Linked DNA regions of Sus scrofa. The protein of the gene in region 1 interacts with the protein of each later gene in a pairwise test. Links are inferred from orthologs where the notes say so. Each region holds a gene or a part of one and is shown in the gene's direction. Other genes may lie near its edges.

Region 1 (10,920 bases):
CCCGACCCCACTCGGTTCAGTACATCATGGTGCTAGAATAACTTAGACACTCAGGATTATTTTTATTTATGTATTTTTTTTCTATTTTTTGTTTTTTTAGGGCCACACGGGCAGCATATGGATGTTCCCAGATGAGGGGTCGAATAGAAGCTGCAGGCACCGGCCTACGCCACAGCCACAGCAACGTGGGGTCCGAGCCGCATCTGTGACCTGCACCACAGCTCATGGCAACATTGGATCCTTAGCCCACTGAGCGACGCCAGCAATTGAACCTGCCTCCTCACGGATGCTAGTCCAGTTCATTAACCACTGAGCCATGAAAGGAACTCCAGGGATAATTTTTAAATTCCCACTTTCCTATGTCCTGCCTGGTGCCTGGGCACTCCAGTAACAACCGAGATGAGAGCTATAAAGGAAAGAGCTGGTGTGAGTTTACATGAATTACATATTGGTCATGGTCTAACAGAGAGGAAAGGGAAAGAGGTAGGCTCCCACTGTCCCTTTCATATCACCCAGTGCAGGCTTCCGGTCAGATGATCAATCAACCAACATGTACTGAGCATCTGCTAGAAGCCAAGGACCACAGTGGGTGCTGGACCCCTAGACATGAGTAACTGCCAACTGGGGACTCACCGTCACGTGGGGTGAACACACATGTAAACAAAGGCAATGCAAATCCCACCCACACACGGCCTGGGGACCACAGGGACAAGCGAGTTCCCACTGGAGAATCAGGGGAGCCTCCACGGGGGCCACAGCTTCTCTCCCAGGAGATACCTTCACTACAGCGATGCTGCTCACAGAGCCCTTTTCTAGTCCTTCTAACGAGGCAGCATGCCTCCTCCATCGCACCTGTGCAGATAAGAGGATCCTAAGATAATCCAGGAACTGGGAGTAGTAAGAAAATCTTGGGAAGTGATTACACTGCTTTGGTTAATAAGGAACAAAGATGTGGATCACTGGATGACCGTGGTGAATTCGATTCCTCTAGAGGAAGTGGGCAGCAAACGAAAGCTTCATTTCAGCTCGGTTAAACACAAAGTAATTGGGATAGTAAAACTGGTTTGCTAATTTAACTAAAACTTGAAAGCAAAACAAATATGTCAGTTGAAAGGGTGACTGTTATATAATCTTAATGAGTTTTCAATTTAAACATTTTTTTCCAATTGGAACTGGGATTAACTTTAGAGTTAAGATATAGTACATTGAAATCAGGAAAAAAATATGAGGATCTAAGAAAGATTCATATACCTCTCTTACATCAGATAGATTACGGGGAGTACATATTTTTAATGTTTCAGAAAAATAGATAACTGATTATTTTTAAATCTCAGAACTGGAACCGTTTAGGGTCAAAAGTAGTCAAAGATTAACAGAGGAAAAAATGTACCCACTTAAGTAAAAATGAGAGTTTTCCTATGGAAATTTAAAAAACACCATTGAAATACAAGACAAATTCTAGCATGGAGTACTAGTTACAGTGATACAGCATAATGTTGTAAGTTACTTACGTACTAATTATAATTATATGTTAAAATTATAGGGGGAGGGATAAAGTAGGAGATTGGGATTAATACAATGCATTACGACATATAAAGTAAATAACAGCAAGGACCTACAGCACAGAGAACTCCACTGTGTTTTCCTTTACAGGTTATTTTCTAATAACCTGTAAAGGAAAAAAAAATCTGAAAAAGAATATATATACATATATATATATACACGCAGACGTATATATATATACACACACATATGTATAAAAAACCGAAGCGTTGTACCATACACCCAAAACTAACACAACATTGTAAATCAACTATGCTTCAATAAATAAATAATTAAAAATACAATTATATGGGCTAATAATTACAAAAATTGGTAAGAACTCTCTAACACCTTCATAGATAAAGAACTGTGTCACCCAGCCATTGCTACAATATTGCCGTCTAACACATCCCCTTCAAACTCAGCGGCTTAGAACCACAGCCTTCATCCTCGCACCCGTCTGCCAGCCAGCTCTGATGTGGCTGATTTAGGTTGGCCTGGGTGACGCTGCTTCAGGCTGCAGGTTCTCTGGGCTTGGCTCCGGGATGCAGCTGGGGTAGAGGTCCGTTCCAGGTGTGCTCATCGGGGAGCACCCAGGGCTGGTTCTCATGGTGATAAGCGCGCAAGAGATGAGCCAGGGAGAGCAAGCAGAATTAAACCTGTCGCTTGTGTCGTGGCTGCTTAACCTTCTGTTGGCCGAAGCAAGCCGTGTGGCCGAGGCCAGCGTCATTGCGGTGGGGAATGGTGTTCCACCCGCAGTGGGAGGGGAAGCTGAAGGAATCTAAATGATCACAGCAGGAAAAAGGCATCAACTGGCAACGCACGAAATAGGAAGCCCACACTTAATAGATGTATGGAACGATGATCCAGTCCATTAGCAATAGAAAAAGTGGAAATTACAACTGCATTGCGATAGCACTTATTACGCATTAATAAAGAAAGTATTAAAATCAAATCACTCTACAGTAGAAATTCTCCCCAACAAGAACAACATACAATCCAGATGGTTTTACGGACGAGTTCAACGAAATTTTCTAGAAACAGATGATTTCAGCTTATGTAAATTCCTCCAGGGGACTGGAAGAATGGGAATGTTCTTAATGCATTTGATGGCCTCAAAACAAAGGAAAAACACAAGAATACAGGAAAATTGCAGCTCAATCTCACTCTTAAGCAGAGGCGTAAAAATTCTAGGTAAAATAGCACTAAACAGAATCTAACAGGGTATAAAAAAGACAACACAACGTAACAAATACCCCCACATAGCATGGCCCCTATCAGAGGGAAGTTTCTAGTGTGGCTGGTCTAGGCTCTTGGACTTCAGAGGTCATCCGGTGACCCAAGCTCCTTTCAGCTGGTGGCTAGGTGGTTCCTGAGATCACTGTACTTATCTGGATGATCAAAGCTGGGCCACTCCCACGGCGGAGCAGCGGTCAGGGCAGGGGGAGGGAGAGCTGAGTCCAGGGAAGGCAGTGATCCTTTCAAGGTAGGAGCTACGAGAGGCTGCACCGTCACTGCTGGGGTGAACAGATGCTCTCTGGGCAGCTGTGGGCCCAGGAAGAGATGCACGGGTTTTATGGGGGACAAGCCAACCGGCACGCTGCCACTCTAGGAATACTTTCAACAAAACATGTGCCAGATCTATACACAGGATATGATAAGATCTTACTGGAGGACATTGAAGAGCACTCAAGAAATACCCTCTCCTTCGGGAGAGACATACTCAGTATCATGAAGTTGTTATCTTCAAATTCGAAATAAAAGCTGAATGGAATTTTCATTGAAACTGACCATTGACAAGGCTGGCTCTCAAGAGGTAAGAAGCATAAGGTTGATGGACTTGCCCTACCTGATATAAAGACCGATGCTGAATCTGCAGCCTTTAAGCTTTGGGTCTGGGTATAGAAATAGACAAGCTGACCAGAAGAAGAAAAGAAGCCTCCTGCATAGTAATGGAATTTTGACGTGCAGCAGAAGGGCCACTGGAGATCCCTGAGGGGCGAAGGACCTGTCTCCTAAATGGTCTGGACCATCTGAGTATCCACATGGATAAAATGGAAATTGGATTCCCATCTCACACAAAACCCAAAAATCAGTTCCAGTTGATTAAGGACTAAAAATATGAAAGGCAGACTTTAATACTTTTAGGATAAAATATTGGAGAATATTTTTCTAACCTTAGAATTTCTTTAAAAACACATAGAAACTCAGGAAAGAAAGAGTTGATAAATTTGACTATTTTAAAATCAAGACTTCTTCAGGAGTTCCCATCGTGGCTCAGCAGAAACGAATCCGACTAGGAACCATGAGGTTGCGGGTTCAATCCCTGGCCTCACTCAGTGGGTTAAAGATCCGGCGTTGCTGTGAGCTGTGGTGTAGGTGGCAGACGTGGCTCGGATCCTGCGTTGCTGTGGCTGTGGTGTAGGCCAGCGGCTGCGGCTCCAATTAGACCCCTAGCCTGGGACCCTCCATATGCCGCGGGTGCGGCCCTAGAAAAAGACAAAAATAAATAAATAATGAAATGAAATGAAATGAAGACTTCTTCCAAAAATACCATAAAGAACATGAACATTAAGTCATTCCCTGGGAGAACGTATTGGTAATATAAACCATCAACAAAGAATTATGTCATGAACTTCTATAAATCTATGAGGCAAATGCCTAAATACAACTGAAAAATGTGCACGAGATGTGGACTGGTATTTCACAGCAGAGAAAATACGGATGGCACATAGCCCAAAGTGGTTCTATTTCCTTAGTCATCAGGGAAATACCAAGTTGGACCACACTGAGATATCATTTATTTCCACCATCTTGCCATGTCCTGTGTTGGGGAGAAAGAGAAAAAGTGGGGTACACACTTACCCTTGCTGGTGGAAACGTACACTGGTACAGCCAATGCTTCTGTTGGTACACCGCACAAACATTTAGATAATCTTGAAGGCTTTCCAATACACAAGGTGATTTTTATGAGCTGTTCATATGAATTCACAATTTTTAAAAAAAGTGGAAAGCAACTGAATAGGAAAACGATGGATATTAATAGCAGTGAGAAATGACTGAACGTCAATTATGTGCCATAATACAGGCGAATCTTAGAAACATAACGCTGAGTGAACATAGCAAGTTGCAGACTCCCATTAGGTATGATGCCATTTTTATAAGCCTAAAAATCCAAATTTCACCAATATGTTATTCAGTTACACACACATGTGATGAAATTGTTTCAAAAGAAAGAGAATGAAGGGCGTAAAATTCAGGATGTGGGTTCCTTTAGGGGCGGAACGAGGGCAGGGAGGGGGACAGAGGAGTTAGGATGGATGCAAGTGATTGACTGGGTTATGGGTTCACCCGTGTTATTTGTTTTACAGCATATGTACCTTCTTCTGTGTCTTCTCATGCTGTGTAACAACTGAACCAGTAGCTGACGTCAGCGAAGTGGCAACAGAAGCCTGAGGAGAGAGTTAATTGTTAACCAAGATTTGTAGACGTGGTGCCATGTGAAGATAGAAATGAGGTAAGGACAATCAATCATTCTAAGAGAGACAGAAAATATGGAAAAAAAAAATAGCAGGACCGGTAGAAAGCTCACAATTGTATGGCAGAGTAGGTTCAACTATACAAATAATTAATATAGTTATATAATAATTAATAAGTAATTAAATGAGGTATATTTACAAATGAAAAGATGGATGTTGTCAGATTAAATAAAAATAACTATGGAATTCCCGTTGTGGTTCAGCTATAAGGAACCGAGCAGTATCCAAGAAGATGTGGGTTCAATCCCTGGCCTTGCTCAGTGGGTAAAGGATCTGGTGTTGCCCTGAGCTGCAGTGTAGGTTGCTGACCTGGCTTGGATCCCACAATGCTGTGGCTGCGTTGTAGGCCGGCAGCTGCAGCTTGGATTGGACCCCTAGCCTGGGAACTTCGTATGCTGTGGGTGGGGCCCTAAAAAAAAAGACAAACAAAAGCAGACATTGAGAATTTAAGGGCTGGAGGCAGTTCTGAGAAAGCCTTGGCAGGACAATAGAGAGTTTGAGGACAAAGACTGCCCAAGAGCTGTGTCCTCCGTTAGGCAGACATGGCCCATCACCTAGTGCTCCCACCAGAGTCAGCCAGGGCTGGGAACGGCTTGGGGGGATGTGCGACCTTGGTGGGAACAGCTTGGGGGGGGTGTGCGACCTTGGTGGGAACGGCTTGGGGGGGTGTGCGACCTTGGTGTGAGCACCAGGGTAGATCAAAGGTGTGACTGCTGGAGGCCCATCAGTTAGTTACACTCTGGAGATGTGAGAGGCCCAAGTCCATGGCCACCGCAGAAAGAGGTCTCTCCACACTCTAAATAGAGGCACTGGGCCACCTCTGCAGGATTTGCTGCATAAGGGTTCTGACTTCAGCCCAATTTTAGGGAGAGGGGGGAGTGGGAGAAGGTTGGTAGCAAGAATTACAGAGTGCTGTGAGGGAGAGGAGGGGTACGGCCACTGCATGCAGAGAAAGGCTTCTGGAGAAGTCCGCAGAGGGCTTGGCGTGGACCACCTGGGGTCTGCGGGCATACCTGAACCCGCAGCCTCCTGACTCCTACATGACAAGCTTCCTAGAGGCCGATCAGAGCCTCCTGCGAGCAGGGAACGAAGAGGGCGTGCTGCTGTGCCAGTGACCCGGATGGTTGACCCGGATGGTTGGGTTGACCTGGATGGCTGACCCGGGTGGTTGACCGAGGAGGAAGGCTCGGCCCGCCAGGTCACATGACGCCGCAGAGACACCCGCAGAGAAGCTGACCCGAAGCCAGGACCAGAGCCCGGGTAGGACCGGTTCCCCACCCACCACCCTGGAGGAGCCAGTCTGCACCGAGCCGGCCCAGGATGTGGAGCCCGGAAGGGAAAGGCCTCAAAGGCTTCTGAGCTTGGGTTTCCCGAGGAGCCGGTGGGAGGCAAGAGCGGGAAACGGGACCGAAGTTTTGATTTGGACTGGATGGGACTTTTTAATACCAAAGAAACCGACTGTTTATTAGCACTGGAAAGTGACAGGAAAAGCTATGAAATCTGCCCTAGATTCTTCCAGAGGAGAAGGGAGAGCTGTTAGAATCATTTGAAAAGACAGTGGTGTGCAGAAAAAGGTACCGTTTCATGATTTCCCTTTGCCTGGTGGTCCAGCAGTGTTTCAGACATGAACCGGTGTAAAACATTGTTTAACATGGTGATCTGGAAAGAGAGAGCCCACTACTCTTAAAAAACCCCCAACACCTAAATAGTGCGACCACCAGCACCAGCGATTCCATTTTATAATGCTTATTGCGTTGCTGTTTGAACCAGAGGCAGCCAAAGGTCTCAGCCCTCCCCTGCCTTTTCAAGCCTCCCTGGGAGCGTTTCTTTGGGAAGTGGTTAATACATTTATTACCGAGAGGGTCTCTGGAACCCCTCGGCCAGTGTTAGGCACAACTGGAGCTTATTAAATATAGAACTAAACCCGATTCTAGAAAGAAAAGCCTGCCTTTCCCACAAACCTTCCTAGAGGATCATTTCGGGCTCCTCGTGCCTCGGGAATCCCACTGCCCTCGAGGTTCCCCGTGCTGAGCCCAAACTCGTGCTGCTGCCCCCGCATTCGAAGCCGTTCCCTCTTCTCCCTCAGAGGAAGACCGCAGGTCCTGCTCCTCGAAGCCCCCTGCCCTGCAGCACCGGCCACCTCGCTGGGGTCGCCGGCAGGCTCCTGGCCTCGGTGGCGCGGTGGGGGCTGCCCGGAGCCGCAGCGGGACGGCGCGCGCAGGGCGGCCCCGCGGCCGGCAGAGGGCGCAGCGGCTCCCCGGCGGGGCTGCGGGCGCGGGGCGCGGGCCCCGGCGTGTGCGTCTCGGGGCGGCCGGGAGGGGGTGCGCGCCTCTCCGCCCCGCGCCGCCCTCCCGCGCGGGCCCGCTCGCCGCCCGGCCGCTGTCACCGCCGCCCGCACCTCGCGAGCGAGGCGCGCGGGCTGCGCGGGCTGCGCGGCGCGCTCCGAGGCCCGGGCTTGGCCGCCGCCCGCCCCGCGGCTTCTCTTTGTCCGGGCGAGGCGGCCGGAGGAGCGGCCGCTGCATCGTCCGGGGGGCGCCTGGGCGTCCGGTCGGAGGTCCCCGTCAGCGGCCACGGCGCGCTCCGAGCGGGGGCGGCGGCCTGGGCGGTGCCGACGCGAGGTGAGCGAGGGGCGCGGGCGGGCGTGGGCGGGCGGCGGGACCCGGCGGGCGGGCCGGCGCTGGGCGCGGGGGCGTCCCCGCCTCCAACACCTGCGCCGCCTCGGCTGGCTCCTCGCGGCAAGTTTGGAGCCACCCCTTTGGCGGACCTCCTTGGCCGGTGGGCAGAGTCCAGACCCGTCGCCAAATAGAAAACTCGAGCTGGAGGCGGCGGCGGCGGCGGCGGCGGCGGCGTGTGGCAGCCTGGTCCGGGATGAGGGGCTCTTTAAGGGCAGTGGTGGCAGCCTGGCCATCTCTCTCGGCTCTTGCCCACCCAGGTGAGCGAATCCTCTTCTGCACCGTCGGGTCGGCCCGGGCTCCGGTGCCTGCCTTCTGGGAACCCGCGCGGAGTTGGGGAGAGACCGCAGCGGGGGCTCGCTCTGGCTTTTCTGCCGCCGCAGCACTCACTCCCTCCTGCCTACATCCTGCTCAGGCTGAGGTGTTGCAGCTCGTTTGGCACCGTCGCTTGCTGCCAGGTTAAACAGCCTCTGATTCAGAAGGGCTGGAGGTTAGTGGAACCGAATCCTTTCCCCCGCCTCCCCACACACCCCCAGCTTTGGATAATTTGTTCTGCGTCTTCGTCTTAATATAGTAGGCATGTGCTAGTTCCTTTGAGCTTTATAATGGTAAAGCAGTGAAATGGTTTGCTACATCCCCCCCCCCGCTTTTTTTTTTTTTTTTTTTCATTCTGAGCCTGTGCACAGAAGGAATTTCAGGCACACAAGTGATGTTACTACCATTCTATTTTAAATACAAACACGGAAAGAAGTGCTCTTGGCAGGATACCAGAGGCGCCTGTACGCTCTGTTATATAAGTGCTTTTTAAAAATATGTGTTCATCGGTAAAGTTATGAAAGTGATTACCAGAGCATCTAAGAAGAGAGGCTGAAGATAAGTCAGAGTCATAAGTCATAATTTTTGCTTTAGCCAAAACTTTACTTGAAGACAATAAAGCGTATTCTTTAGGATAATATAGGGCCTTTCTCTGAACTCATTGGGTCGAGTTGTCAAACATTAGAAAAATAAAATAGGTTTCGTAGAGGCTATTAAGAAACTTGGTGAAAATTCTTTACTTATGGATGGTAATAAAAAGATCCCACAGACACCCTTTATGGCTTGTAAACTATTGAATGACTTTATTTTTACAGCTGATGGAAACTTAGTAATTACGAACTGCCAGTTATTCAAGATCCCTCCACCCTTTAAACCTCTGCTCCTATTTATGGTTGTTTTTTTTTTTTCCAGGAAAGAATAAGACAGAAGTAGAAATAACAGATATACCGAGGTCCGAGAATGTCCTTTTGTGACTCCCTCCCCACAAGTCTAATTCGTTTTGGTGACATCTGACCTTAGCAACGTTGAAAGCTTCCTTGTGATACTGTTGGGCGGGGGGAGACCCGATGGATAGCACTCTTTCTTTGAATTTTGTGCCTTTATAGCCTGAGGTGTGGCTCCACCTGAGTTGTGGTTTAAGTACAAAATGAGTGGTTAGAAATATGGAGAGAGAAAAATGGTGTTGCAAAGGAGATGTGTTGAATTATAGCATCGGACACTTTTGTATTTTGTTGAAATATTTTTCTTGAGTTTTTTTTTTTTTAAGCTGCCAAAAATCAAAAAAAAAAAAAAAAAAAACCCCAAAAAACAACCCATGGTCCTGAGTTGATGTTTACTGAGGACCATGCTTCCATGGAGACTCTGTCAGGGAATCCTAAGTGGGACATTGCTTTGTGCAGTGGTAGCCGTGAAGTTGAGCAGTGGTGTCAGGGTCTTTCTTTATGTTTACGTGCGAAGACGATTGTGTCTTAGTGAAGATAGTCTTCTCCATCAAATTCAAAGCTCGCCCATGTTAATACAGAGCAGCAGGTTAAGTGCAGAAAGCTTTTATTGTCTTTAAGGTCGGAAATAAACCTAGCTGCTGAATGAGTGTTTTCTGTCTACCTTATGTAATTCCAAATATCCAGATCTGGGGGCGGATCTTATGGCTGGTTTGTGAAGGGTTATGTAAGAACTACGACTCTGCTTTTTGTATTCCATTAAAGTCCCTGTTTTGGCTCTTACATAATGGACACAGTACCGGGTTGTTGAAGCCAGAACAGGGGAAGATGCACAACCCCAGCCCAGCACATGGACTTTTATAATGAATTGCTGCTGCCAAATTAGAGGGAACAGCAGGGATGGAGGTTTGTGAAAGGGAGATAAGAATAGCATCTAGAGGATTGATGTAATAGAAGACTGTTATGCTTAGCGGTTTTCTAGAGATTTTAATGCTGCGGGTATAAACCTCGCTGGTCTTTTATATCTCCCAGCAGAGGCGGATTGACTGGGAAGCTAATGAATCTTAAGCTTCAGGGCCCCTCACTCCAGCTTCGTTCAAGCCCCCCGGGAGAGCCATTGGCAATTGCTCCTGCAGCCAGAGAAGTTTGTATTTGTAATTTTGGATTCTTTTTTAAATAAGGAAGACTCGCTTCCCCCCTCCCACTTCCCATCATACACACATAAGACTCCACAAACCCTGGATGTGCCGTGTCTTCTAATTATGTTCAAACGTTAACTTTAAAGAATGCTTTATCTTATTTTAACGTCCTATGAAAAGACAGAAAAAGAAATCTGGTCAACGTTGTAGTTGAGCTGCGGAGCAAATGCAAATTGCTCTAACCCAGGGCTGCGTGGAGCTGCTGGAATCAGGTGGTTACCTGGAGAACCAGCTCTGCCTTGTGATCTTGCACAAATGGGGGCTTTTTTGGATCCGAGTGTGAGCGGGAGGTGGAGAGGCTGGGACGGGGGCGGTGAAGGGAGGAAAGTGGGTTAAAGCTGCCGAGGGGAAAGGAAGAAAAGGGAACCACCAAAAGATGCTTCATTAATAAAAAGTTAATGGGAACAGATAGCATCAGCTCCGTAGGAGACCTTCCTGTAAACTCCTCAGGATCCGTCTTTAATGTGAACACTAAACAGGGAGCAAACTCAGGCCCAGAAAATGTCCTGCAGGCTGGGAAGGGCTAGGATGAACTATTGACTCGTTCCCATTAGCAGTTTTATGAGTAAGTGGGAGCCTTATTATGTCCGCCACAGGAATGTTGGAGAGGAGGTTGTTGAAAAGAGTGGAGCCTTTGCCTTTTTTCTCTGGTGTTATTTCTACTTCATATCTGAATTTGGATGCTTTAGATCTTACCATCTTGACCCCTTTT
Region 2 (10,900 bases), on another chromosome or scaffold:
CATTTTAGAGCCCATGGAAGCTCCCTGTGTTTATGCTTCAGGGAACTGTGACTCTAGATCTTTCCTGTGGGTTTCTGCAGGTTCTGAGGAATTCTCCATTGCCCTTTGGAGATGACTAGATCACATTCCATCTGATCTTTAAAGGACGTGCTGCCTTTGTTAAGTCCCTTGAAGTGATGTCAAGAATATGCCTCATGATGCAGCGGGAAATGACAAGGAAGATGGGATTGTGGGAGAATCCTAGTTAAAATAAAGCAGTATCTATCTTCATAATGTGCCATGTGTATACAGATGTGTGTGTATTTAAATTCCTGAACCTGTATATTTAAGAATCTAAAACTGAGAGCTTGCTTGTTTTGACCTTTGCTGACATTTGCTAAGGGATGGGATTCACGGTGATACAAGAGTTTACAAGTCCATCACTTGGAACTAGAGAAACCTGCACAAGTCCCACAGTGATCAGTCAGGAAAGAGTAGGCCGTCTTCCTATTAACAGAGTCTACCTTCAGAATTGGATGAAATTAATCCTGAAAGACTTCAGCATTTGTCCATGGAGAAGTACTATTCATTTTTGGTTTTCAACTCCTCCCACGTGACTCAGGCTCCAGCCTCGCATTCTAATATCTCCAGGGAAATGTGTTTTCTTTACTAATACACTTCATCTGCACACAAAGGGGATCTTAGGTCAAGGCTGGGAAAGGCTGGGCTTGGTCTAGTGTTGCACAAGGGATCTCAGCATGTGGGGCTCTCACCTATCTGATTATTCCTTCCATGAGACTTTCATGAGCTCCAATACACCTTCATTTCTTTCTTTCTTTTTTTTTTTTGTCTTTTCTAGGGCTGCTCCTGTGGCATATGGACATTCCTAGGCTAGGGGCCTACACCGGAGCCACAGCAACGCCAGATTTGAGCCATGTCTGCAACCTACACCACAGCTCATGGCAATGCCAGATCCTTAACCCACTGAGCAAGGCCAGGGATTGAACCTGCAACCTCATGGTTCCAAGTCGGATTCCTTAACCACTGAGCCATGACAGGAACTCCCCACCCTCATTTCTTATCATTGTCCCTCAGTGGCCTGCCTCAGCCCTCTCCTTTTTTCTTTTTTTAAAATAATTTTTATTTCTTCTATTATAATTGGTTTACAGTGTTCTGTCAATTTTCTACCATACAGCAAAGTGACCCAGTCACCATACAGATATACATTCTTTTTCTCACATTATCCTCCATCAGGCTCCATCACAAGTGACTAGATACAGTTCCCAGGGCTATACAGCAGGATCTCATTGCTATCCACTCCAAATGCAATCATTTGCATCTAGCCCTTTCCTTTTCTCATTCTATTCCTCCTCCTATGATCTTGCCCACTCCAGGGTTCCAACTCTTTATGGATTTGTGGCTTCTGAATTGATATCTCTAGCCCAGCATTCACTCAACTTCCAGGCTCACTTACCATTTCTCTGTTAAAATGATCACTAGCACCTCAAGCTCAGCGTGTGCTCCAAACTAACTCTTCTTGCCGTGTTTCTTATCTCAGTCAAGGGCCCCACAATTCTGCCAAGCTAGAAACCTCTGAGTCACTTCTGACCCCCCAAAATAGGGCCCTACCCTCGTGGATCTTACCGTCTAGTTGGGGAAACAGACAAAAGATGTTATGGAAGAAATAAGCCGTTATGAGTGTTTAGCCTAGGGGACAGGGAAGGCCTTGAAGGAGGGACATTTAAGAGGAGATCTGAAGAACACCTCAGAGAGTTCCTGTCATGGCTCAGGGGTTAATGAACCCGACGAGCAACCATGAGGGCGCGAGTTCGATCCCTGGCCATGCTCAGTGTGTGAAGGATCCAGCATTGCTGTGAGCTGTGGTGTAGGTCACAGATGTGGCCTGGATCCTGCGTTTCTGTGACTGTGGTATAGGGCGGCGGCTACAGCTCCGACTCGACCCCTAGCCTGGGAACTTCCATATGCTGCTGGTGTGGCCCCAAAAAAGACAAAAAATAAAAAATGTAAAAAAAATTTTTGAAAGAAAGAAAGAATGCCTCAGGAGTTAACTGGATCAAGGGCTGGAGTGAGGAGTTCATTTCCTAAGCAGACAGAACAGTGTGCGCTGACGTCCTGAGAGAGGAGGAATGGGAAACTTCAAGGAAGCTTTTGTGGCTCCAGCATAATGAATGACAGGAACAATGATGAGAGAGGCGATTGGAGAGGCAGGCAGAGGCCCTACTGTTCAGCACCTTGTAAGGATGTTGGCCCTTCCTCTAAGAGGGCAGAGAAATGCTGAAGGCTTTTTCTGCCCGGGGGTGGGGTAGGGTTGAGGGGAAGCGAACATCACTCTGGCTACAATGTGGAATGTGCAGAGTGGGCTGGGTGGGGCCTGAGTGGATGTGGGGAAGGACAGCCCAACTGGCCTCCTGGCTACCCCTCTGGCCACCATCCGCCGTCCAGAATCTGGCTGGCTGTCCCCTGCCTTCCAGCAGAAGACACTGCTCCTGTGTTACCCTTACATTGCACCTTTGGTGTGGCTGCTGGACATAGCCTCCCACTTCTCTCAACAGAAAAGAAAAGCAGAGATTCTTCATTGTGCTCAAAATAAAGTTCAAACTCCTTAGCAGGCCCACAAGTCCCTTCCAACCTGGCCCTTGTCTCCCTCTCCAGTGTCAAGCCAACCACTTGTCCTCAAGCACCCTATGCCTTAGCTCACTAAAAGGGGAATTGAGAGCTGGAGAGCAGTTTGAGGGGAACGGCCCAGAGGAGTAGAAGTAGCTGAGCCAAGGCCAAGGCTGAGCCCCAGGCCCTGCATGTTGATCCAGCTGAGAGCACAGGAAACTGGTCCAAGTCGGGGTTTCAGATACTTGGCTTTGGGCCACTTCAGACAGTTGGATATAAGAAGATCAAGGATCAACATTTAGGAAGCACTTGGGGACCACGCATCTGGAGGCTTGGACGTAGGACCCAGAGGTGTGGTTGTTGGGAGGTGGTGACCAAGGCCAGGACCCTAAACACTGAGAAATGGGAGCTTAAGAGTGAGACCTGGGCCACTGGAGAACTGAGGTTCCAGGATAGCCAGGATGCCAGCTAAGAAGGAATGGGCAGTTCATAAAGAAGGGGCGGAGTTCCTGTTGTGGCTCAGCAGAAACGAATCTGACTAGCATCCATGAGGACGCAGGTTTGATCCCTGGTTGTGCTCAGTGGGTTAAGGATCTGGCATTGCCATGAGCTGTGGTGTAGGTCACAGATGCAGCTTGGATCCTGCATTGCTGTGACTGACATAGGCCAACAGCTACAATTCCAATTGGACCCCTAGCCTGGGACCCTCCATATGCCACAGGTGCAGCCCTAAAAAGACAAACAAACAAATAAAAAATAAAAAAATAAAGAAGGGGCAAGACTCAGAAACTTAGGATTCAGAAGGTCAAAGTCAAAGGCTGATTTGAGGATGACTTGGTAACAAGAACCATGGGAAAGCTCTTTATATCTTTATAGTGGGAATAGCAACCAGAAGGAATCCTAGAGTATAAGAGGCAAGGTGTCAAGTCAAGGCCAGAGCTAGAAGGGTGTAGAGAGAGGGGCCAGGTGGCTTCTTCCATCCCCCGACACCACGATCTGCCTCGCTCTGGCTAGTCTGCCAGGCATAACGCTGACAATTCCAGGATAGGGAAATTTAGCCCAATGAACCCCCAAGACCTGTGACTGCTTGGGGGCGGGGGGACCCATCCCAATTCAACAGGAATGAAATCTCAGCATGAGTTTGGTTCTGAGAGCAGCCCTGTGACTCTAAGGAGAGTCTCTGAAGACTGTGGCTGTGTACGGTTCACACGGTAACCAAAGACTATGACATACTTAGAGTGCAGTGAGGTCATAGAACACAAGCTTTAAAGTAAGTGAACCATGCGTGCCTCATTTATTTTTAAAAGACACTTCTGAGAAGAGCTTAGAACAATTTTTTCCCCCCGAGTGCCATTTTCCACAGGTACTCACAGAGCAATAAGGTGTGACTGGAATGGCTGCACTGAGTTGCCTTTTGGACAGTGTTAGAAGGGACATAAAGAAGGTGGACAGAGAACTAAGGCAGCTGAGATGCATCGACGAATTCAGCACGCGATGCCTGTGCGACCTATACATGCACCCTTATTGCTGCTGTGACTTGCACCCGTACCCGTACTGCCTGTGCTATTCAAAGCGATCCCGCTCCTGCGGGCTGTGCGATCTCTACCCGTGTTGCCTGTGTGATGTCAAGCTTTACTGTCTTCGACCGTCTCTCAGAAGTTTGGAGAGGAAAGCCATCCGAGCCATAGAAGATGAAAAGAGAGAGCTTGCCAAGTGAGAACTTCCTAAGATTTTTCTAATTGGTATAGGAGCCTCCGAAGCTGGAATGGCGTGGGGTTGGGGTGGGAGGAGAGGGGACAATCAGTACTTGAACAAAGATGAGATGGGTTCAAGTAATGACTCTGGTGACTTTAGCCAAGATTTAAGAAAGATGAAATGGGTCCATGACGGAAATTGTAAGATTCTCAAAAGACAGTGTAATGATGTCGATTGGCAAGGTTGTTTTCGGCTTATAGCAGGAGTGCCAACGTGATAAATAATGTGGCTCTAATGAAGGAGAGAAACAGGGGGTGTCATTAAAAAGCTATTGGAAGCGGCAAACTAAACATTTTTTCTGGTTATGAGTAAAGTGATCTGAGTATACTTCGGCTCACAGAAATGGCTATGGGAGAAGTAATAATAATTGATCAAATCCTTAATGTTTGCCAGAGGCTTTACGAGCAGGGGAGCAAATTGAGCAATAGAGGCATTTCTTTGGTTTTGCAGGAAATCCTTTCTCCTATTCTCCAACTCTAGACAATTTAAAATTCATCTGGAATTGAGTTTATTGTCTGCCTCCCCCTTCGACTGCAGTAAAGATTGTGCAAATAAACCACAGAACTGAGAACCCAGATTTCAGAATAGAGTTGAAAAAGTTTGAATTGAATTGGGTAACTTTAATTGCACTTTAAAATTTTTTGGTTTTGATCACATTTTATTTTTTACCTAAGAAAGCTTTCTTCTTCTGTCTACATATGCTATTTAGTCTGCTGCTATGATGAAAAACGTGGTTGAAAGCACTGTCCTCTGGTTAAATAATTGTTATATCCATACATCGAGATGATATGTAGATGTAAAGAGGACCAAGGAAGCATTCGAAGTATTGTCATGTTAAGTGAGACAGGCAAGGTGCAGAACAGCTACTTAATAGACTACTATTTTTTATTATTTTAATTTTTTTGCTTTTCAGGGCCGCATGTGCGGCATACGGAGGTTCCCAAGCTAGGGGTCCAGTTGGAGCTACAGCTGCCAACATACACCACAGCTACAGCAATGCAGGATCCGAGCCTTGTCTGTGACCTACACCACAGCTCATGGCAATGCCAGGTCCTTGACCCGCTAAGTGAGGCCAGGGATCAAACCCGCAACCTCATGGTTCCTAGTCAGATTTGCTTCATCTGCGCCATGATGGGAACTCCTGCTACTATTTTTCAAAAGATGGGCACAGATAGATGGTCTTTTTATTGAACTATATTTGACACATGCCACTGCGTAAATTTAAGGTGTACAATGTTGTTAATTTGATACACTTATATATTGTAATATTATTGCCATTGTCATGATAATTAGCACGGCTGCTATGTTACATAATTATCATTTCTTTTTAGTGGCTGGAATAATTAAGTTCTAGTCTTTTAGCAAGTTGGATAATTACAATACAGTATTTATTGCCTATATTCACTATACTGTGCATTAGATTTCTCTAGGACTTGACTACTGGTTGCCAGCTTGTATCCTTAAACAATATCCTTCTCATCTAATAGACTAATAGATTAGATGATAGATAGATAGATAGATAGATAGATAGATAGATGGATAGATAGATAGATAGATAGATAGATAGATGGATAGGAAGAAAGAACATGATGGGTGGATGGAGGGAGGGAGAGAGGAATGAGACCCTTGAAAACAGTGACAGTAATACTTCACTCCCAAGGGCGACAGGGCAGTTGTTGTGCAGGTCATCAGTCACCCAAGGTCAGAAATGGACCTCCCTCTGCTGTCTGAAACTCACCTTGAACCACTTTTAATTTTTACTCCTTAGAGTATCCAGTTACATAAAAGCCATGCAGTGTGAGTCAGGGGTTCTCTTTTAAATGTTTGGTCTCAATGAAGGGTTAGTTGTGAGCAGGTCTGTGACCACTTCCCTGAGCCTCTGAACACTCGAATACCCTTGAGCCAAGTCCTCCCAGCTTCTGTCTCCTGGCTGTCCCTACTCTCAGGACCCTCCAGGTAAGGTCTTCACCACCTGGGCACCCTCTGCCTCCTCCAGGAGTCTACACAATGAATGACCTGCTGTAGATACAACTTCAAGCTTAATTCTCTTTATTCAATTCTTAATTCTCTTTATACTTAATTCTTGTTTATACAAGAGGTAATGTTTTCTATGGATTGTGATAATTTTCCTGACAAGGCCTGGATGTTTTTTTGTTTGTTTGTTTGTTTTCTGGCTGTGTCCGTATCACATGGAAGATCCCGCACCACAGCATTAACACAAAACACTGCAGTGACAATGCCGGACCCTCAACCCACTGTGCCACAAGGGAACTCCAAGGCCTGTATTTTTGCTAATTTTTTTTTTTTTCTGTTGTCTGAGGGAGTACATCAAGCTGCTGATGTCTTTACATTAATTCCCGGTTCTTCGAACTGATAACCCAGGGTCCATTTCTGAAGTGACCTCAGGCCTGCCCTCTTATATTTCTGCCCAGCCACTTTTCTTCCTATTTATACCACCCTGGGAAGCCCTCCTATTAATTCTGACAGCTTGACACTTCACTATCCTGAAAAGCTTAGTATTACCTGCAATCCCAAATATTCAGTTTTCTGAATATGGATGAAAATGTTAAACGCTGATCCAGCTCTCATCCCAGAGGACTCCCTCTGTTAATATTTTTTTCCAGCAAAATGCCTCTTTTTTCTTATCTCTCAGCTCCCAAACCATGACTAAATAGATCCAGAAATACTATGTTGATTCAATTTTTCAAAACCACTCCCGGTGTGAAATCTTGCCCAAGGCTTTTAGCATTTAGAAATCATAGGCGCAGGACCTCTTACCCCTTAAAGAGAAAGCTAGCAGTTTGGTTAGGTCATGACATGTCCTTTTCAGATGCCAAGCTGTGTTATCCAGAAGATTCTTCATCCAATGGGACAGTAGAATTCCTTGGCCTGGAGTTGCCATGGCCTCCCTGGAACTGTCTTTCTTTGTGAGAGTCTGTGTGCTGTCTTTGGGTCTTCCTTTAATAACAGGCAAGGTGCTTGGCTGAGCGTATAATTCCCGCCAGGAGTCTTTTAAGCCTTCCTGGTGTGTGTTATTTGAGTGGTGTGTGTGTGTGTGTGTGTGTGTGTGTGTGTGTGTGTGTGTGTGTGTGTGTGTGTGGAGTGTTTATAGACCAGGTACAGAAGGTCAGTTTCTTTTCTTTCTTCTTCTTTTTTTTTTTTTTTTGGCTTTTCAGGCCGGCATATGGAGGTTCCCAGGCTAGGGGTCTAATTGGAGCTGTAGCTGCCAGTCTACACCACAGCCACAGCAATGCCAGATCCGAGCTGTGTCTGCGACCTACAGCACAGCTCATGGCAACACTGGATCCTTAACCCACTGAGCAAGGCCAGGGATTGAACCCGAAACCTCATGGTTCCTAGTCAGATTCGTTAACCACTGAGCCACGACGGGAACTCCATAAGAACGTCCAATTTCTTTCCATTGTTTAACTGAGCAGCTGCTTCAAAAGACACCTTGGCCGTATCTTCATCTGTAGAGACCCATGTAAGTACTTGCATTTCTTCAGCTCTTTTAATATTCTTTTTCCCCCAAAAGCACCTTTTGCACCCCAAGCACCAGCCTTTCCCCTGACTCTTCCTTCCGCCTCCGGATTGCTAGAGATTGAAGTAACTGAATTTGGTTTCCTTTACAAGAAGCCATGCGACCAGCCTGATGGAAGTTGGCACCGGCTTCACCCCACACTTTGTAGGCTCCCTGTCTTCTGTTCTCCAGTGGCAGAACCAAAGCCAGCCCCTCCTCAATCCTGTCCTTAGGAGTTTAGGATCTCTACCGCCTGCCTCTAGTCCTGATGCGCAAATGAACCTTGATTTGCAGCTGCACCTAGGGAGGCAGTGGGCTCAACCTGCCCTTTGCTGGGGCCTGGAAACTAATCCTGAGACTCTGCTTCCTTCCACTCATCCAAGTATCTGAGGTCGGCTTGCGGCTCAAGAAGTTCCCCTAAAACTCCCTACAGGAGGGGCACCATCTTCTAAAACCTTCAAAAACTTGCCCTCTCATTTCTCCCTCACGCTCTGAGTATGCTTTTCACAGAATCGCCCTCACTGGGGGAGCGGGCGCGGGTGGGAGTGGGAGTCAGGGGCCACTGTCAGCCTTCAGGGTGCATTCTTTGTGGTCTAGCAGTGCTTCCCTGGGTCCCCACCCCGGGGGGGGGGAGTCTTTCCATCCCCCATCCTCTGACCCATATAGGTCAGGGCACAGCAGGGCACAGTCACACCGAGGGCAGAAACGAATCTGGGGGGCTTTACGGCGGCTGGCAGGTTGGCATTGCCACGGAGAAGAGAGCTTGCTATTTCCCTATGTGTCCCTACAGAGCTGGAAGGGACCTGGGCCCTTTGGTCCCCTCTCATCACGATGTCTTGGTGCCCATAGGTCTCGGAGTCTAGGCATCCCAGGGTGGCAGGAGTAGGAGTTGCTGCCCATCCAGGCCAAATGCACATCCATTATTTGACCTTACTGTTTCATGACACAGGACTTGGGGCTTGGTCAGTAAAAGCTTTGACTTTCAGGGAGGGCTGTGTAAGCCTGGTACAGCATGATAAAGAGACTTACACTTCACTGAGCAGAACCCAAGTGCCCAGCATGTGCCTTCAATCTAATCCTTATAATAGCTTTGCCTCCTTACAGATGGTGAAACAGAGTCAGGGGTAGTGGTCTGGATGATCAGGAAATGGCAGAGCCGGGACTTGAGGCCAGGTTTGCCTGAGTCTGGAATCCATGTGTTTAACCACCTGGTCAGTGATCCTTAGAGTGATCCGCAGCCAGCATCACCTGGAATTTGTTAGAAATTCAAATTCTTGGCTCCTCCCCAGCCAGGCTGAGTCAAGACTTTGGGGGTGGGGTCCAGATACCTGTGTTTGAATGACCCCCGCAAGTGTTCAGATGTACCCGTGTTGTGCTCTGGTCTCATTCAAAAGTCAGGAGGAGAGAGACAAGGCAGGAAATGGCAAGAGGGAGAAGAGAGGAGAGAGAAGGAAAGATGTGTTGGAAAGGAACAATCGAGCCTATTGGGCCAGGGGCAGGGGTCAACATTTGGAGAAAAAGGACAGTATGCCAAGGAAAACGAGAGGAATGCCAGGCTCCATTCGATTCAGAGAAGAGACAGGCCTTCTCGTCGTCCTCATTACTTATTCGTCACCCGGCTGAACCTGATTCATACCTGCATGAAGAACAAAAGGCAGGCTGTATCGCTCACCTTTGCTGTGGGCAGAATCACCTTCAGGAGCTGGTCACACATTCAAGTGAAATCCAGCTTCAGTCGGGAGAAGAGGCAACAGCCCAGAGTGGCTGGCAGACAGACAGCACTGCCCTCTGGCTTTTCCCCAGCTTTCTGCCACCAACCAAAGAGGCTGCCTTGCCTCTGTTTACTGTGACTAAGGTCCACGCTCATGATAAAGAGAAGAGCAGGCCATCTTCCTTTGCCCAGAACTCCACAGAACCAAGGAAAATCCCCTATGGGGTGACGGGGACATCGACAGGCGGGAGTCAGGTTGCAAGTTCAGAGTTAAATCTGATGAGTACCATGAGGCTTCTGCAATCTCTCCTGAATTCGCTCATCCCCACTGATAGCCCCTGACCTAAAAGCAAAAGGTAGAAGAAACTGGACCCAGCCAAGACGTTGGGGGCAATTTCCTGAAGACCCACAATTGTGAGACCCTGTCCAGCTGCTGCAGGAGGGAGGGGGCCAGAGTGACAGGAAGAGAGGAAGAGGGGGAATCTAAGCAAAAACAAGAACAAAATGGAGTTCCCGTCGGGGCGCAGTGAAAACGAATCCAAATAGGACTTGAGGTTGCACGTTCGATCCCTGGCCTCACACAGTGGGTTAAGGATCTGGTGTTGCCCTGAGCTGTGGTGTAGGTTGCAGATGTGGCTCAGATCTGATGTTGCTGTGGCTGTGGTGTAGGCCAGCAGCTACAGCTCTGGTTTGACCCCTAGCCTAGGAACCTCCATGTGCCGCAGGTGCGGCTCTAAAAAGACAAAGAAAAAAAAAACACTTATACTCCAAGGGCAGATTGCTAAGAGGAGGAAATGGACCTGGGAGCCAGCTTTGGCTTGTAGATCTGCCTCCCAGATCTATCTCCTGCACAAGGCAAGAGGGCTTATGGGTATTTTTTTTAAAATAATGTGTCTTTTTGCTTATCTATTTTTTCTGAGCTTTCTACAATGAACTTGTATAACTTAAGTAACAAAAAGAGGTACATGTATAACAATTCAACATAAAGAGTAAGAACTAAAAATGTACCTCAAGTCAGTCACAAGTAAGAGTCCAGACTCCTCAAGCCAAAGAGCTTCTAGAAAGCACGCATGCTGAGACCTCCCTTTGGAGGCCAGGAGATGAAAGAAGATTTACCAAGAGAGTCTCTTAAAACACATATTTTTAAAAAACATATCATCTTCTTTATCATCATCATCATTTTCTGGCTATGGTGTGCAGCTGCTGGATGTGAGATCACAGTTCCTAGACCAGGGATTGAACCCAGACCACAGTACTGGAAGCACTGAATCCTAACCATTTGACCACCAGGGAACTCCCACTTTTTTTTT
Region 3 (10,706 bases), on another chromosome or scaffold:
TTCTTCTCCTCCCCAGTTCTGCTAAGTGCATGCTGGATCCCTCAAATGACGTAGCCACCCCAGTGATGCTGGGGCTAAAGGCTGGGCACTGCCCCCTCGGGGAAGGGAGAAGGGGCCAGAGCTTGACAGATCTTATGTAACAGCACCAGCTCCCGTGTTGGCAGTGCGTGCACTGCCCCGTGCCAGGGCCACACCAGGCTCCTTGGCCGCAGCCAGGACTCATGGCTGACCCTCATGGCACAGGTGAAGTAAGCCAGAAAGCTCTTTCCTGGGGTCTCTAGGTTTGTGAAGGCGCAAACCTCCATCAGCCTTTCTTAGATGGCCCGTGTTCCCAGATGATTCCTTGGCCTTTCTGTGGAGGGGGCTCTTGCTGAGCCTCCCTGCTCCTTCCCTGGGAAGTGAATGTTGTGTGTTTACTGTCTTTGGAGGTGGCATCGACTTTCTGGAACAGTGGTTGCTGAGTCAAGTTAGGTTTGCTGAGGGCTAATTTTAAGGCAGTTCTTGACCCCGAACTTTCTCAGCCCTTTGCACTTGAGTCCCAGCATCCCAGCTGGAGTCACTTCCTTCTCTCCTGGTGAGAGGCTGGCTGTGCAGGGTCTCTCCCAACTTCTCCAGTTCTAGCCTCTCCCTGTCAGCCCTGAGGTAGGATTGTTTTTTCCCGGTAAGAAAGGTCACTCCTGGAACATTTTGTTCCTCTCTGGAATGGAAAGTGCTGACTTTCCCCGGAGCTCCTGATTTCCTCTTCACAGCTGGACATAAAAGAATATCTGGCCGAACAGAGAACAGCCCTGCTCTCCCCTCCACTCCCACTCCCTGACTCCTCTTACCCAGTTGCCTTCTACCCTGATACTCAGAAATTGGCAAGTAGTTTTGAGCTCACCCCCAGAACTGAGAAAGTGGCTGCAGGGAGACCTCATCTTCCTGCATCTCTCCACCCTCCGGGCCATAAGTAGGGTTAGATCCTTAAGAGTAGCAATCATAGATGGTGATCTGTTCTTCTTGACCCTCCCTCAGCTGGGTCACAGTTAAGTGTCAACCCCACAGGAATGCTTCATTAGAAAGATGACTCCAGTCCTATTGTTCCCCCCCCCCCACCGGTGCTTCTTGACTGCTGTCTCAGCCGAGGGCCCACTTTGGCCAACAGTGACAGTCACCAGCGGGAGAATGCTTTGCTCCTATGGCCTGTGTAGGCAGGTGTTGTCTGGGGGCGGGGAGAACTGGTAAAGTGCTGCCAGAAGTAGGTGGAAGAGTGGCTGTCTGTCCTGGGGAAGAAGCAGGTACTCGGTCGTGGGCAGGCTTTAATGTTTAGTTCCAAATGGGCGACACGGAGACGTCATTGTTTTTGTTGGGCCCCAAGTCGTCCTCCAAATGCGGCTAAGGTCTTTGTCCAGGGAGTTCTCTCTCTTGTGGCACTCTGACTGGCACATCAGGGTTTTAGATGTCAGAAAGGTGAGCTTTAAATTTTGTGTTTGGGACTCAGACCCTGCTTTGTGCTTCGGTGGCTGCTTTTACCCCACCTGCTGCCAGTAGGCTTTTCTTTCTAGCTACAGATGGACACCAGGTTTCTCTTTGGGTTTAGGTGTTTCCTTCCCTACCTGTTAGTGTTAGACCTAGTAATCGGCAAGGAGGGATCTTACTTGTGGGATCAACAGGGCCATTCCTGAAAAAAGCCCTCCTTCAGCCTACCTTTCCCAACCCCACCCCCTTATGCTGACAACCTCATGGGCTTTGAGCTGCTGACAGCACACGGCATGAGTAATTTTAGCTGAGTTATTTCAGGCTCCTGTTCTGATCAGGGTTGAGCTGGCCCCACGCATGCCCCAGCCAGCGTTGCTCCAGAGTTGCCTCCTCCCGGGTCCCCTCCCTGAGAGAGAGGGTGGCAGGCTCATCTCTTTAACCCTTTGAGCCTGGAGGTTTCCTGACTCCTTGGAGGCTGGGCCAGGATTAGCCAAGAGATCTGGACAAACAATACAGTCCTCAACTGAGCACCTGTTCTCTCCCCCACCCGCTCCCCAGCCTCCACAATAGGAACAGGAGCAAGAGTAGCACCTTCAGCCAGGTGCTTACCTCTGCTTGGCCGCTATCTGCCATCGGAAGGATTCCCAGCCAGTGGCCAGTGAGGATGTTGAAACCTGAACCAGGCAGGGAGGATTCTCCCAGGCTTCCATCGGCCCTTAGGGGCTGAGCTCAGCTAGAAGGAATTCCACCTGTCTCCAGCAAGTCGGAATAGCAGGCCAACTAGAGATTTTTCCCCAGCTGGAGATCTAAACTCAGTTAAGGTGTTTGTCATTGAACTTTGCAGGACTTCCTTGAGGAGCTTATGATGACAGCTGTTTTATCTATCAGACATCTAGGGGTACAAATGTAGGGTCATTTGAGAGGGCACCTGGATTTGGGACCTGAGATTTCTTGGAGCCAGGAATGAGATATGTGAACACCGAGTCGCTGGCTCTAATCTCCAGTTTCCGATATGGCAGAGAACGAAGAGTAACATAAAGATGAGAGAAAACACATAGTCGATAAAGGAAAGCAAAGTATTTTTGTTGTGAAGAATATTTTTGCTGTGTGTTGGAAAGGACAGGCATTCCTCACCCCTCTTTCCTACAACATTCGTAGACTAAAGTTGAAGAGACAATACTGTGTGCGACCTGATTCTAGTGGCTACAACTGGCAGAAGGTTGCAGAGAGAACCTAGTACAGGCCGGGCCTCTTCCTGCAGCCTTATGTGCCACGTGTTCTTTGCTTACAGAACTCTAAGAGCGCCCAGGGTCTGGCTGGTCTTCGAAACCTTGGGAACACGGTAAGTTTTTCCCAGCCCACTTCTTTCCTGAGGCCACTCCCTACCATCCCAAGTGGGACCATCTAACCAGGGTCCCTTCCTGGCTCCAGCTGACTCCCTACCCCCTAGGCCAGTTGGTACCTGCCCTTCCTGGCTGGTGTTTTACAGAATGGCTGGGCTCTGCCTCATTCCTTGCCCCCAGCAGGGAGTACTGCTAAAGAGGAGTTGTCCCTTTAACCCTCAGCTTAGCTCCTTTTCTGGATTCTTCTCCGCAAGGACATCCATCACTTCCCACCCACTTCTGTCCGGCTCACCCACACCCTTTTGTACACCTCTGTAGTAAATGCCCAGTTACGTCACCCGTGCCAGCAGTGGGAATTTGCCTCACTTCACCGCTTTCACTTACAAAAAGAGGAACTTGAGGCTGTGGGAGGATCCATTTCTGGGCCAGATGAACCAGAGGGCCTTGGGTAGGTATTAAGTAAAAAGACACGCCAGACAGGGGTCTTTGTTCCGCTGCTGATTGCCTGGGTGCTCTCTTGCAGTGCTTCATGAACTCCATCCTGCAGTGCCTGAGCAACACCCGGGAGCTGAGAGACTACTGCCTCCAGAGGCTCTACATGCGGGACCTCAGCCACAGCAGCAGTGCACACACGGCCCTCATGGAAGGTGAGGGCCCATCCTTGGACACTGCATGCTTTTCCACTCCACCAGTGCTGCGCTCTAGTCATGTGTTATATGTGCCTCTCTTTCTTCCCTTTGGCTTCTCTTTGTGGGGACCCTAGTTTCTTAGAGAAAATGGTCCATGTGTCCTTCACTCCTACAGAGTTTGCAAAACTAATCCAGACCATATGGACCTCATCCCCCAATGATGTGGTGAGCCCCTCTGAGTTCAAGACCCAGATCCAGAGATACGCACCGCGCTTCGTCGGCTATAAGTAAGGGCTTCAGGGACACATCCTCCGCACCGTGGGTGGGGGCAGCAGCAGGGCCCAGGGGCAAGAGGTATTGCTCACTCTCTTTCTTCGGGTTCAGTCAGCAGGACGCTCAGGAGTTTCTTCGCTTCCTTCTGGATGGGCTCCACAACGAGGTGAACCGGGTCACAGTGAGGCCCAAGTCCAGTCCCGAGGGCCTCGACCATCTCCCGTAAGCAGGAGGAGTGCTGGGGGCAGGACTGTGCCCGCTTCTCTGGGAGTAACGAGTGGGGAGAATTCTGGATATTAAGGGTTTCGATGGCTGGGCCTTTAAACTTATCATGGTTTGAGCACTGACCCCCTTGTCTTCCTCTCTCTGGGTCCTAGTGATGATGAGAAAGGGCGCCAGATGTGGAGGAAATATCTAGAACGGGAAGACAGTCGGATCGGGGGTAAGTGCGGGCATGGGGGAACACCCGCCTGTCCTGGGACCTGCCTGAGCAGAGCACAAGAAGCCTGCTCTCCCAGGGACCCCTTCTGCTGCCCAGCGCCCGGCACCAAAGGCCTGAGGCAGGAGCCATGAGGAGGGAGGAGTCTTGGTGCTTAAGCACCTCGTGTCCGTCTCTTCTCCAGATCTCTTTGTTGGGCAGCTGAAGAGCTCCCTGACGTGTACGGATTGTGGTTACTGTTCTACAGTCTTTGACCCCTTCTGGGACCTCTCCCTGCCCATTGCTAAGGTATGTACCCCTGCCGCTGCGCTGTTGAAAGACCCACTATGACTTTTCCATGTCATCGACCTCTGACCTTTACCTTGCTCTCTTCCAGCGAGGTTATCCCGAGGTGACTCTAATGGATTGCATGAGGCTCTTCACCAAAGAGGATGTGCTGGATGGCGACGAGAAGCCAGTAAGTCACCTTCCAAGACAGCGAAAGCTCATCTCCCAGAGCCCTCTCGGGGGCAGACTGGCACGGGAGCTGCTGGATTTGGCTGTCGACCTCTCTGTGAGTCCTTGCCAGCCCTGTCTGTCGTGTTTTTCAGACGTGCTGTCGCTGCCGAGCCAGAAAACGCTGTATAAAGAAGTTCTCCGTCCAGAGGTTCCCAAAGATCTTGGTGCTCCGTATCCTTCAGATCCATCAGGGCAGGGATGTGACTTGTAGAGAGTGGCCGATGACCAGGGGCCAAGGCGAGGGCCAACAGAGTAGGAAACAAGGAAGCTTCCTTCTCTTGTTTGCTAGTCTGCTTCCTGAGACTCGCAGTCACCCTCAGGGACTCCGTCTCCTTTTCTTTGACTCTTCTTGTTACCCTCTTTGTCCTTGACACATATCAATGCCAGATCTGAAGCGGTTCTCGGAATCCAGGATACGAACCAGCAAGCTCACAACATTTGTGAATTTCCCACTAAGAGACCTGGACTTGCGAGAATTTGCCTCAGAAAACATCAGTGAGTACTTTTCAGCTGGAAGGGCAGAAGCAAGGCACAAGTGTCTGAGATACAGATGGGAGGCCAGGAGGGGGAGGGAGGCAGCTAAGGAGTGAGATGTGGACACGGGGTGCAGAGGCGGGACGGGAGGGGCGAGGGATGCCTTGGGGGCTTGACACGCTCTGCCTCCTCCTCAGACCATGCTGTTTACAACCTGTACGCTGTGTCCAATCACTCCGGAACCACCATGGGCGGCCACTACACAGCCTACTGCCGGAGTCCCGTCACGGGCGAATGGCACACTTTCAATGACTCCAGGTGAGACAGGCCTCGGGGCGGGCCCGGCTGTCAGACCCCCGCACCTCACCCAGAAGAGGTCAGGGCCAGAAGGTGTGTCGCTGCCCCTGGGAGACTTTCCAGAAAACAGCAGGAGAGGGGGCCAGGGCAGGGGTGTCTGCTAGATCTGGGACGGCCCCCCTCCGCCAGGCTGACCTGCCCTGCTCTCTCCGCAGCGTCTCCCCCATGTCCTCCAGCCAAGTGCGCACCAGCGACGCCTACTTGCTCTTCTACGAGTTGGCCAGTCCGCCCTCCCGCATGTAGCAGCCAGGAGCTACGTCCCGTCCGCCCTTCCCCGTGGTAGCCCCACACCCTGAGTTTTTTAAAAAGACAAAAAAAAAAAAAACAAAAAACAAAAACAAACCCTGACGTATAAGAAAAATAAAGGAAAATGAAGCTGCCAGCAGGAGTTGCGGCAGCATGGCCGGGATCTGGAGGCGGGAGCCGGGCGCTCCGCAGCCGGCCTGGCAGGGAAGATCCGCAGGACACAGACCCAGCGGGCGCGGCGCCCCTCGGCTGTTTGCATTTGCACACCCGCAGCTCGTTCCTGTGTGTGAGAAACGGCAGCATCTGTGGGGAGAAGACAGCACCTCGGCGCTGCGCGGCCGCGGCCTCCCGAGAAGACAGCGCCCTCTAGAGCCTGCGGGGAGGATCGCCCCCGGGAGCGCCCCGCCTTCCTCACCTGGACCCCTGCTCACCGGTTCGGGAGCAAGGAAAACACCTGTGAGCCAAGAGCCCTCTTAACGCTGCTAACCCCAGGGGGACAGATGAGGGGACATCTTTGAAAAAAAGCTGTTTTTGGTTTTTAGAAGCCCAACTTTTTTAAAAAATTACCATAACTAAAGTTTTCAGACTGGAGATGCTCTCCTTGACACCTCTTCACAGCTGGGACGTCGTGCTGGTCATTTTTCTTTCTTTCCTTTTTTTTTTTTTTTTTTTTTTTTTTAATTCTTCAAATACAGATTTTCTAGTGCTAGCCCCCAGTGGTGCTAGGTGGGAGTTGGCCAGACCCCAAACACAGCCACAGTAGATCTGGGATCTGACAAGTTTTTTGTTTGTTTTTTTAATGTTTTGGATGGAATCTAGTTGCCTCCAAGAACTGTGCCTTATAGCATTTGGGGACCAGGGGGTGACTGCCCCTCCCTGAAATATCCCACAGCCTCTTCCCTTTTCCCCGGTGCCATGTTCAGAGCCATTGGAAAGCTCGGGGTCTTGCCCTCAGCCCCTGGCTCGTTTCGCATCGCAGTGAGGTGAAGAGGAGAGTAGGTCAAAGATTTCTGATAGTGTTTCAAGTTCTGCCCACCTGCTTCCTCTAACCCGCCCCTGGTCTGCTCCCCAGCTGTTGGAAGGATAGCACGAGCCCCCTACCCTCAAGCTTCTCCCCCCTTTAATTTATTCCCCCTTAACAAGCTCTCCTCCGCCTTCCTGCCCCAGCCCCCTTCTCAGAACCTCCTGGCATAGGCCCTTTGGACCGAGTTTCTCAGGGATGCCCATGCCACCCCCCGGCTCCTCTTGGCATCAGTCTGCAGTCCGGCCTGGGAGCTGGAGCCTGGGTGTTTGGGGACATCTTGCCTCAATTGTATGATTCTCTGCCATGGGCGTGATTGTGCCCTACACAGCTGGGCAAAACTCTGTGCTGTCCCAGGAGAGAAGCCCTTCAGCACCCAGGAACCGGGCTCTGGGCCTGGACCTCTCTGCACACCCACACAGCTGGGCCCTGCCTGTGTCCCTTGGAACCCAGGACTTTCCTGAGCTCCCAGGAGGCATCCGGAAAAAAACACACCCTGAGTTTAACTGGCCTGACACGCTTCTCCAGGGAAGACCTGTGAACCTGAGCCAAAGGGCTGGGGTACACTTGTTTACTGTGTAAGCAAGAGTAGAATGTGTGATGTACAGTGGAACCTTGTACAGAATAAATAATAGCTTTGAGAGATGAGTTGGTAAGTGGCGAAATCTTGATTTGGGAGGGGTTTGAACCCAGGGAGAGCGCTTAACCTGTCAGTGGCCAGGTATTTTATTGCTTCAACCAGATGGTAAATTCCACGTTCTGGAAAAAGTTAAATTACACACTGTTTAGTTCAAACTTCTCAATTCTGTGAAAAAGCTGTAATAGTACATATTTTGAACAGTATATTCCTCCTCTGGATTCACTGATGTTAATATTAACATCTTGGGTCTTCCTGTTGTGGCTCGGATCCATGAAGATTCAGGTTCGATCCCTGACCTTGCTCAGTGGGTTAAGGATCCAGCATTGCCGTGAGCTGTGGTGTAGGTCACAGATGCGGCTTGGAGCCTGTGTTGCTGTGTCTGGTGTAAGCTGGCAGCTGTAGCTCTGATTCGACCCCTAGCCTGGGAACCTCCATGTGCCTCGGGTACAGCCCTAAAAAGCAAATAAAGGGTGGATTATGAAAATAATCTAAAAATTAACATCTTACCACATTAGTTTATGTATACTTCATTTTTGGAGGCAAACATTTAGGGATGAGGTGTCCTATCAGCACTTCTAGATAACCCCAGCGTGTCTCCCCATATCTGGCACTCTGGCTTCCCACTTAAGAAAATTAGCATCTCTAATAGACATTTCTTTAAATAGACTGTCTGCTTTTTAACTGCTGGTATGGGCACTCTGGTGGTTCTCTGTTGACACACTTGGGTGTCTGTAAAGACCTCTGACGAGCTAAGACAAGCCTCTCCAGCAGAGGCTGAATACAGCCAAGTTTGCTCTTGGAGCAGAGTGGCTATTCCTGGATATGGAGTGATCGAGGTTTGGTTCTTGGTAAATTAACCAAAAGATCTCAACTTGCCCCACTAATACCTGGAAACGGCTGCCTTTGTGCTAAAGTGCTGCTTCCAAGATGGCACCAGATTTAACTCGAAGGGAGGGCCTCACGGGATCCCCAGGGATGTGACTCCTTTGGTTTTTTCCTCAGGACTTCAGATTTTTCATTTCTGCCACCAATCCTAGAACTTGAAAAACAAAAGTCTTCACCAGCTGAGCTTAGAGTATTTTATCGGGGTTTTTCCTGCCATCCCTGCTCCAGACACAGAAATCAAGGCCTGTCTGTGTCTCCCTCCCTCGCGGAATCAGGGGCACCTGTTGTCACTCCCCACTCCTGGGCTGAGACAGTGCTGGGGGGTGGGAGGGGGGCGGTGCTTTTTTTCTGTACATTTCCCAAGAAGGATTGAAAACAAGAGTGACTCAAGCCTGGAGTTTCTCCCCCACCTGCTGGGAGGGGCCTAACCCAGGATACGATGTTAAATACTGAGGATTTCCCTCACACCATAGGTAAACAGGATCACCTTCAAAATGGAAACATTAGGCTTAGAGCAAAATGGCTAGCTGAGCCCCGGATTAGCGTAAGGTGCCATACCCTTCCTGCGCCTAGTGTTTCACTGCAGGGGGAAACCGCCTGTGTGTTTCATTGGCTTCTACTGGGGAATATTCAGACTATAGGTAGCTGTTGAGGGCAGGGGCTCAGCCCCCTCCAGCTTTGCTCGCAGCCCTCTTTTCTGTACTTAACCTGTGGTGCTTTCTCTTCCCCATGGCAACAGGTCCTAGTGCTACACAGTCCCCCACACACAACCTGGCCCCGTGTTTCTCTACCCAAAAGCTTTGCCTCCTAGCAACTGGGATTTCTCTCCCCATTCTTTGCTGGTGTTCCAGCAGGCCTCTCCCTCAGGGAGGCAGTGTCCCTGCACCTGCTCTTGTGTGACCTTGACCAAGAACCTCCCTCTTTCTGGGCTTTAGTGTCTCATCTGTGAATTAAGGAGATTGGACTAGAGGATCTCAAAGGTCTCAGCTCACGTGTTCTCATCCTGAGTCACTTTTTCCCTAAATACAAGTCCTGTGTTAGGGGACTTGCCACCGCTGGCTCCCTGGCTGCACTTTATAGAGTTTCTATGTTTTTTTGTTTGTTTGTTTGTTTGTTTGTTTGTTTGTTTTTTGTCTTTTTGCCATTTCTTGGGCCGCTCCTGCGGCATATGGAGGTTCCCAGGGTAGGGGTCGAATCGGAGCTGTAGCTGCCAGCCTACGCCAGAGCCACAGCAACGTAGGATCCGAGCCAGGTCTGTGACCTACACCACAGCTCACGGCAACGCCGGAACCTTGACCCACTGAGCAAGGGCAGGGATCGAACCCACAACCTCATGGTTCCTAGTCGGATTCGTTAACCACTGCGCCACGACGGGAACTCCCGAGTTTCTATGTTTTAAAGTGACCAGTGCTTAGCAAATGCATATTGCTTCAGAGTTTGGACCATAGAGGTCAGCTTGTCCACTGGAGAAGCCCCACTCAAGTCCACCAGCTCATCGGTGGCAGAGGCAGGATGGAAGCCAGGGATCTCGTCTCCCCACCCAGATCTCTTTCCACCTGAATGCTCTGCCTTTGGGTCCAATAATTGACAGTAATGTGGTCCAAAATGTTGCAGGATTTTCAGCAGCAAATTTCCCAGCCCTGTGTCTATTAGCAACTGATCTGAACAGCAACGTGACCAAGGAACTCCTTGACTCTACAGGTTCACACTTACCCAAGAGCAAACCCAGCACAATCTGTCACATACCTGGGACTAAGCAGGGCTGGGCGTGCACTTCTGAGGGGCCAGTCCTTCACTGCTCTTGGCCACAAACACCTGTGCAGGAGGCAGCAGAAAGAGACTAGCATTTATAGTCCAAGCAAATTACTTAATCTCTCTGAGTCTCCATTTCCTCCTTTGTAATCTGAGCATAACTATAGCTACTGAGTTACGAGTGTCCAGCACATAGTAGGTACTCAACAAAGGTCCATTTCCCGCACCTCACCTCCGTTTCCAGGACCACACAATCCATGCTCTACTGAGATTCTCTTAGTGGGTGATCCTCAATAAATGCTTAGTTCCCCTGGCCTCTCGGGATGCTCCTGACTTCTCAGGAATTCAAAGTAAATACAACATTGTCCAACCCACAGAAGTCAGTGAGGCAGAGCCACCAAATGGGCTTTCCAAAGCCGAGAAATTAGCTTTCCTGATTTCCTGATACTTGGTGTGACCTGCCTCTCGGAGGCGGCAGTGGGTTGGCTGGGAGTGAGCTGCAGTCTTCCAGGCTCCTGGAGACTAGAGAAGATCCAGAAACCAGGGGGTGAGCATCAAGAATGGGGCAGCCGTGAACAAGGAGAGGAGGGAGTGTTTGATATATCGGGTCGGGTTGGGGCAAAGTCGAGTCCTAAGGCACACCTATACTGCTGGTCCTAAGAATGAACAAAAGGAAAGTGTTCTGGTCAGA

Evidence for each region.
Region 2: the proteins of MTUS2 (region 1) and ODF1 interact in binary tests that used the Homo sapiens proteins (3 or more experiments, as listed by UniProt). The two-hybrid records come from large-scale screens. The link is inferred for Sus scrofa from reciprocal best matches to the Homo sapiens genes MTUS2 and ODF1.
Region 3: the proteins of MTUS2 (region 1) and USP2 interact in binary tests that used the Homo sapiens proteins (3 or more experiments, as listed by UniProt). The two-hybrid records come from large-scale screens. The link is inferred for Sus scrofa from reciprocal best matches to the Homo sapiens genes MTUS2 and USP2.

Annotation. Positions count from the first base shown.
Region 1 is NC_010453.5:6,034,755-6,045,674, forward strand, and holds the start of MTUS2 (microtubule-associated tumor suppressor candidate 2), read left to right. Parts: upstream 1-4,060; 5' UTR 4,061-5,059; intron 5,060-7,474; exon of another isoform or gene 7,475-7,699; intron 7,700-7,898; exon of another isoform or gene 7,899-8,243; intron 8,244-10,920. UniProt on the Homo sapiens protein: Binds microtubules. Together with MAPRE1 may target the microtubule depolymerase KIF2C to the plus-end of microtubules. May regulate the dynamics of microtubules at their growing distal tip.
Region 2 is NC_010446.5:34,513,637-34,524,536, reverse strand, and holds the start of ODF1 (outer dense fiber protein 1), read left to right. Parts: upstream 1-3,935; 5' UTR 3,936-3,997; coding exon 3,998-4,317; intron 4,318-10,900.
Region 3 is NC_010451.4:46,560,149-46,570,854, reverse strand, and holds the end of USP2 (ubiquitin carboxyl-terminal hydrolase 2), read left to right. Parts: intron 1-2,749; coding exon 2,750-2,800; intron 2,801-3,324; coding exon 3,325-3,448; intron 3,449-3,605; coding exon 3,606-3,717; intron 3,718-3,814; coding exon 3,815-3,925; intron 3,926-4,080; coding exon 4,081-4,145; intron 4,146-4,326; coding exon 4,327-4,430; intron 4,431-4,518; coding exon 4,519-4,811; intron 4,812-5,027; coding exon 5,028-5,135; intron 5,136-5,311; coding exon 5,312-5,426; coding exon of another isoform or gene 5,427-5,432; intron 5,433-5,626; coding exon of another isoform or gene 5,627-5,714; 3' UTR 5,715-7,386; downstream 7,387-10,706. UniProt on the Homo sapiens protein: Hydrolase that deubiquitinates polyubiquitinated target proteins such as MDM2, MDM4 and CCND1. Isoform 1 and isoform 4 possess both ubiquitin-specific peptidase and isopeptidase activities.